Mus musculus: one gene and its partner. The protein of the gene in region 1 interacts with the protein of each later gene in a biochemical or structural test. Links are inferred from orthologs where the notes say so. Each region holds a gene or a part of one and is shown in the gene's direction. Other genes may lie near its edges.

Region 1 (3,821 bases):
TGTAAGCCAGGTCATCACCCCCGATGCCTTTGTGTGTCGCACCATCTGCACCTTCCATCCCAACTGCCTTTTCTTCACGTTCTACACGAATGAATGGGAGACAGAATCACAGAGGTGAGTGTGAGCGGCGTGCGCCCCCTTCTAGCCCTTTCCGTTCCTTGCGAGGGTCTTGCTCGTTGCCCTAACAGCGCTGGAGCCTGTGGTTTAACCGGATGCTTTTCAGCCAGGTGCAGGTTACTTCACAGATTAACAAATTCTTCCCTTCCATAAAACAAGCCTACTATTTAGTCAAACCACAGCGGCAGAGGCAGAAGGGAGCAGGAAGCATTCTCACTGGCATTAAGGTTTGGGATTGGCTTGGGTTACAGCTGCTCATGCAAACTGTCCTTTAATCTTGTGAGAAACCAGAGCCCTGCTTATCCAGATCTAGGGTCTAGTCTGACCTCTTCATCTTTACACAGCATTTCCTTTATGTACGCCGTGGGGCCTGCAGAAGGATGTGTGTGGACATAATACCATGGGTAGCATAAATCCAAACCAACAGTCTTTTGATGCCTTCTCTTTTTCCTTTTTCTAATTAGAAGGTGGACTTTAATCCTCTGTCCTCTTTTCTGGATGTCTGTACCTACCAGGTATTTTTTGCCAGAGGGAGAGGTGACTCTACTTACATTTAAGCCCTGTGATATTTTTGGAGTCTTGCAGTCTGACTGACTGAAAATAATTTCTCAGAAGAATACCATTTATGGAGTTGCTTAGAGAGGAAGGAAGGAAGGAAGGAAGGAAGGAAGGAAGGAAGGAAGGAAGGAAGGAAGGAAGGAAGGAAAGAAGGAAGGAGAGAGAGAGAGAGAGAGAGAGAGAAAGAGAAAGAGAAAGAAAGAAAGAAAGAAAGAAAGAAAGAAAGAAAGAAAGAAAGAAAGAAAGAAAGGAAGGAAGGAAGGTAGGTCTGTCTAGTGCTTCTAATGCTGTCTTCTTCTTCTTTCTCATTTATTTTTAATAGAAATGTTTGTTTTCTTAAGACGTCTAAAAGTGGAAGACCAAGTCCCCCTATTCCTCAAGAAAACGCTATATCTGGATATAGTCTCCTCACCTGCAGAAAAACTCGCCCTGGTAATGACTCAATCTTAGTGGCACATGGCATGTGTCCGGGTTTGGTTCTTGGTTGCTTGATAAATACTATGACCAAAAGCAAGTTGGGAGAGAAAGGAGTTTGTTTTGTTCACATGTCCCAGTCATAGCTGATTCCTGAGGGAAGTCAGGCTAGAAACTCAAGCAGAAGCAGAGGCAGGGACTGGGCAGAGACCATGGAGAAATGTTGCTTCTTAGCTTGCTTCTGTGAATATATATATATATATATATATATTCATGCTACCTGCCCAGAATTGACACTGACCTGGTTAGACGGACCCTCTTCCATCCATCATTAATCCAAAGAACATCCCACAGACATGCCTATAAGTTAGTCTGAGGAAGACGATTCTCAGACTGATGGTCCATCTTTTCAGGTGACTCTATTTTGTATCAAGTTGACAAACACTAACAGCCACATGGTGCAGCACATCTTGGGGTCCTCTAAGAGTTAATGAAATGGTTCTCACGACTCTAGAAACTTTGCCAATGTGACTCGTTTCCTGACTTGTGATATATCCTTTGATATTTGTGTATGGTGCAGAACCCTGCCATTCCAAAATTTACTCTGGAGTTGACTTTGAAGGGGAAGAACTGAATGTGACCTTCGTGCAAGGAGCAGATGTCTGCCAAGAGACTTGTACAAAGACAATCCGCTGCCAGTTTTTTATTTACTCCTTACTCCCCCAAGACTGCAAGGAGGAGGGGTAAGGAAACCTTTCTTTGATGATCAGCAAGGTAATTGTTTTCTAGTTTTCTCCCTGTGTGGGGGTTTAATTTTAGACTGTTCATTTATTTCCAGGTGTAAATGTTCCTTAAGGTTATCCACAGATGGCTCCCCAACTAGGATCACCTATGGCATGCAGGGGAGCTCCGGTTATTCTCTGAGATTGTGTAAACTTGTGGACAGCCCTGGTGAGTGAGGTTCGTTTGTTACGGAACTGCATGGCTGGCTTGGCTGTTGTGATTAATGTCTTGGTCTTATGTGATGGGATTGTTTATATGGTTTCTGTTATGGTTTGTATATGGGAGTGGCACTATCAGAAGGTGTGACCCTGTTGGAGTAGGTGTGTCACTGTGGGTGTGGGCTTTAAGACCCTCATCCTAGCTGTCTGGAAGTCAGTATTCTGCTAGCAGCCTTCAGATTAAGGTGTAGAATTCTCAGCTCCTCCTGAACCAAGTCTGCCTGCATGCTGCCATGTTCCCACCTTGATGATAGTGGACTGAACCTCTGAAACCTGTAAGCCAGCCCCAATTAAAACTTGTCCTTGGTCATGGTGTCTGTTCACAGCCGTGAAACCCTAACTAAGACAGTTTCCTTGGATAAAGGGAAAGAATGCTTATCTGTGTCTAATCCTGCCACATCTCAACACTTTTCAGACTGTACAACAAAAATAAATGCACGTATTGTGGGAGGAACAAACGCTTCTTTAGGGGAGTGGCCATGGCAGGTCAGCCTGCAAGTGAAGCTGGTATCTCAGACCCATTTGTGTGGAGGGTCCATCATTGGTCGCCAATGGGTACTGACAGCTGCCCATTGCTTTGATGGGTAAGTTTCAGGGTCATCTTATTATACCAATGTGTGTGTGTGTGTGTGTGTGTGTGTGTGTGTGTGTGTGTGTGTGTGTGTGCATGTAGAGGTTAATCTCGGGTATCTACTTGTACTGCTTGTTCATCTTATTTGTTGAGATAGGGTAATTCACTGAACCTAGTGCTAACCTTTTTGACTAGACAGATAGGTATCTGCCTGTCTCTGTCTCCTGGTACATCCTTAGCCCTAGTTCTGGGTTGGGGATCTGAACTTGAATCCTCAGGTTTGAGAACCAAGCCCTTTGCCCACTCTGCCATCTCCTTGGCCCTGAGATATTTGTTTTTAGGACAAGAAAAGTTTCAAAGTCCTTGCCTAGAAAATATTATAATTTTAAATTCAGCCTGTATATCCTTTACGTGGTTAATTTAAAATTCAAAGGAAAGGTAGGTAGATTTTTAAGCAACAAAATACCTTTAATTCCTGCTGGGGCTTATTTTAATCAGTACAGCTACATGAAGGCTCGGATAATGAGAGCAACTGTTTTTGGGGTTGGTAGACTGAACCTGATTCTCCCAAAGGTTCTTCAAAAGGCACAGAAGCACTCCTGTGCTCTTACTTGAAATAAACAGAAAGTAATTTTTAAGTACGTCTTGAGTGTTTCCAGCCACAGCGTTTATACTGTGAACTGTAATCCTTTAGGAACACAGTGCAACAGAATATGAGCGTCTTCCAAGATTTTAGCAACAGTAAAGGGTCCCTGAAGGGACACTGATAAAAATGAATCCACAATAAAAAGTATGACAAACCCGAGGCATTCTGAGAGCCCTCTCCTGTGCTGTGTCTGAGGATTCCTCTGCAGCCTTTGTTCCTGACACACAACATCATGCTTACTGTGCACTGTGCATATCGCCAGGCTGCGTAGTACCAGCAGATGGTACCCTAAACCCAATCAATCAGACTGAGGATTCTTTAATGGTGTGAAACTGGTGTGTGTGGTATGTGTGCCTTAGGATTTCTGCTCTTACAGGAACATAACAGTATAATTTTAAACAATTTAAAAAAAAACATTAAGATGTCTCTTGTCACAGTGTGTCTTTGGATTGTACAGTGTTAAACTCTGATTTTCAGTGTTGCTCCAGCTGGTTAGTTGAGTTTCATAAAAACT
Region 2 (3,821 bases), on another chromosome or scaffold:
GCATAATATTTCCATTGTCTAGTATCTTCTGTAATTTCCTTTGCCTATATGTAGACGTTTTACTGTAGAGAATTTTATTGTAATAGTCTTTGAATCATTTGGTTAGATATGTTCCTAACTACTTTTGAAAAATTTTTTTAGAAAGTATCTCACTATACAGTCCAGACTGACTTGAAATTCACTCTCTAGACCAGGCTGGCCATGAACTCACAAAGATCTACCTTCCTCTGCCTCCCCAGTGCTGGGATTACAGGCATGTTCCACCAACAACTGGTTTGTTTAAAGATTTAAGAGGTTACTTAATCTTAAAAATATATGAAAAGTAATAGATAATCTAAATATTTTCCTAACTGGATAATTTAAACTACACACGGATTTTCTGATTCAGTATTTAGCAGAGAGACAACAAAAAATATTTCAAGAAAATATTTTAAGTGTTTCTTCTCATACCTCAGATTGTAGTAAAATTTAAGCCCTTGAGTTACTTGGTAGGTGTGGTTTATAGCTTATGAACTTTTAAATTAGTACGTGAATATTAAAGTGAAAGGTTACCCTGTATTTCTTTTACTCAGTGAAGTAAGCTGACCCAACTAATACCCAGAAATCTTAGATATACATACAAACAAAACGTTGTATCAGATATGTGCACCTTGTAGAGAATTTTGTACTTGTAGTCACACTACAAGGACAGTGTAACTTTCTAAGATGGTCAGGAAATATTTAAAATTTCCAGATTCTAACTTTGACCACACTGAAGTAAAAAAGTGCAATTTGTTATGGAAATCCTCATTAAATATTTGTCTTGTACTATTAACTTTACAGGTGGTAGCAGGAACTAATTATGTTATTGAGTTCATAGCCAGAGAAACCAAATGTTCCAAGGAAAGTAACACAGAGCTGACAGAAGATTGTGAGATCAAGCACCTTGGAGTGAGTAGCACTGTCCCTGTGTGACACTCTAAGGTCACTTGCTCATGGGCCTCATGACTAATGCTGATTTATTTTCTCTTGTCTTCTGTTTTCATGATTAGCAAAGTCTCGACTGCAATGCTAACGTGTACATGAGACCTTGGGAGAACAAAGTCATCCCGACTGTGAAATGCCAAGCATTAGATAAGGTAGGATTGGAGTATTGTCAGCTTGGGGTCAGTTCTGTCTATTCCAAAAAGCAATATTGAACATGAATCATTACTGAAATAACTGGGGGAGGGGCTGCTCTTTTAAACCCGTAAGAAGTTGTACATATCTATGCTGATCTTGTGTTTTATGGCTGGGAAAGAAAACAGGTAACCATTCAGTCACTTAGCTCATTGTCAGCGTTCCCTGCCTGGTAGTGAGGAGAAGACCAGGGCACTATCACGAGCCACACGACTCCAAGATACACCCGAGTCCTTAGCACTACTGTGTGCTGGGTTCTGCTCTGTGCATTAAAGTACTGAAGTATTGAAGTACTGTGCACTGAAGTACTTGCATTGAAGTATTGAAGAAACATGGATTCACTCCCCTTCCATAGTTAAATGAATACCAAAATGCACTTTAAAACAGTCGTCAAGGGGTCCACACATGATTCAAATCTGAGAGGCAACACTCTGCATCGTCTTTTTAAGAATCAATGTGCCTAGGGCATCATTACTTTTTTTTTCTTTATTATGTGTTTATTTTTTTTAATTAGGTATTTTCCTCATTTACATTTCCAATGCTATCCCAAAAGTCCCCCCATACCCTCCCACCCACTCCTCTACCCACCCCCTCCACTTTTTGGCCCTGCCGTTCCCCTGTACTGGGGCATATAAAGTTTGCAAGTCCAATGGGCCTCTCTTTCCAGTGATGGCCGACTAGGCCATATTTTGATACATATGCAGCTAGAGTCAAGAGCTCCGGGGTACTGGTTAGTTCATAATGTTGTTCTACCTATAGGGTTGCAGATCCCTTTAGCTCCTTGGCTACTTTCTCTAGCTCCTCCATTGGGAGCCCTGTGATCCATCCAAAGGCTGACTGTGAGCATACACTTCTGTGTTTGCTAGGCCCCTGCATAGTCTCACAAGACACAGGTATATCTGGGTCCTTTCAGCAAAATCTTTCTAGTATATGCAATGGTGTCAGCGTTTGGAGGCTGATTATGGGATGGAACCCTGGATATGGCAGGCTCTAGAGGGTCCATCCTTTTGACACAGCTCAAAGCTTTGTCTCTGTAACTCCTTCCATGGGTGTTTTGTTCCCAATTCTAAGAAGGGGCAAAGTGTCCACACTTTGGTCTTCATTCTTCTTGAATTTCATGCGTTTAGCAAATTGTATCCTATATCTTGGGTATCCTAAGTTTCTGGGCTAATATCCACTTATCAGTGAGTACATATTGTGTGAGTTCCTTTGTGATTGGGTTACCTCACTCAGGATGATACCCTCCAGCTCCATCATTTGCCTAGGAATTTCATAAAATCCTTCTTTTTAATAGCTGAGTAGTACTCCATTGTGTAAAACCATATTTTCTGTATCCATTCCTCTGTTGAGGGGCATCTGGGTTCTTTCCAGCTTCTGGCTATTATAAATAAGGCTGCTATGAACATAGTGGAGCATGTGTCCTTCTTACCGGTTGGAACATCTTCTGGATATATGCCCAGGAGAGGTATTGCAGAATCCTCCGGTAGTACTATATCCAGTTTTCTGAGGAACCGCCAGACTGATTTCCAGAGTGGTTGTACAAGCTTGCAATCCCACCAACAATAGAGGAGTGTTCCTCTTTCTCCACATCCTTGCCAGCATCTGCTGTCACCTGAAGTTTTGATCTTATCCATTCTGACTAGTGTGAGATTGAATCTCAGGGTTGTTTTGATTTGCATTTCTCTGATGATTAAGGATGCTGAACATTTTTTCAGGTGCTTCTCAGCCATTCAGTATTCCTCGGGTGAGAATTATTTGTTTAGCTCTGAGCTCCATTTTTTAATGGGGTTATTTGATTTACTAGAGTCCACCTTCTTGAGTTCTTTATATATATATTGGATATTAGTCCCCTATATGATTTAGGATAGGTAAAGATCCTTTCCCAATCTGTTGGTGGCCTTTTTGTCTTATTGACAGTGTCTTTTGCCTTACAGAAGCTTTGCAGTTTTATGAGGTCCCATTTGTTGATTCTTGATCTTATAGCACAAGCCATTACTGTTCTATTCAGGAATTTTTCTCCTGTGCCCATATTTTCGAGGGTTTTCCCTACTTTCTCCTCAGTAAGTTTCAGTGTCTCTGGTTTTATGTGGAGTTCCTTAAAACACTTAGATTTGACCTTAGTCCAAGGAGATAGGAATGGATCAATTCGCATTCTTCTACATGATAACCACCAGTTATGCCAGCACCATTTATTGAAGATGCTGTCTCTTTTCCATCGGATGGTTTTTGCTCCCTTGTCAAAGATCAAGTGACCATAGGTGTGTGGATTCATTTCTGGGTCTTCAATTCTATTCCATTGGTCTACTTGTCTGTTGCTATACCAGTATCATGCAGTTTTTTATCACAATTGCTCTGTACTACAGCTTTAGGTCAGGCATGGTGATTCCACCAGAGGTTCTTTTATCCTTGAGAAGAGTTTTTGCTATCCTAGATTTTTTGTTATTCCAGATGAATTTGCAGATTCCCCTTTCTAACTCGTTGAAGAATTTAATTGGAATTTTGATGAGGATTGCATTGAATCTGTAGATTGCTTTTGGCAAGATAGCCATTTTTACTATATTGATCCTGCCAATCCATGAGCATGGGAGATCTTTCCATCTTCTAGATCTTCTTTAATTTCTTTCTTCAGAGAGTTGAAGCTCTTATCATACAGATCTTTGACT

Evidence for each region.
Region 2: the proteins of Klkb1 (region 1) and Kng2 form a complex in vitro, tested with the Homo sapiens proteins (4 studies listed by BioGRID). The link is inferred for Mus musculus from reciprocal best matches to the Homo sapiens genes KLKB1 and KNG1.

Annotation. Positions count from the first base shown.
Region 1 is NC_000074.6:45,274,261-45,278,081, reverse strand, and holds part of Klkb1 (plasma kallikrein preproprotein), read left to right. Parts: coding exon 1-114; intron 115-997; coding exon 998-1,107; intron 1,108-1,669; coding exon 1,670-1,832; intron 1,833-1,927; coding exon 1,928-2,040; intron 2,041-2,505; coding exon 2,506-2,674; intron 2,675-3,821. UniProt on the Homo sapiens protein: Participates in the surface-dependent activation of blood coagulation. Activates, in a reciprocal reaction, coagulation factor XII/F12 after binding to negatively charged surfaces.
Region 2 is NC_000082.6:22,994,320-22,998,140, reverse strand, and holds part of Kng2 (kininogen 2 isoform 2 precursor), read left to right. Parts: intron 1-822; coding exon 823-930; intron 931-1,031; coding exon 1,032-1,118; intron 1,119-3,821. UniProt on the Homo sapiens protein: Kininogens are inhibitors of thiol proteases.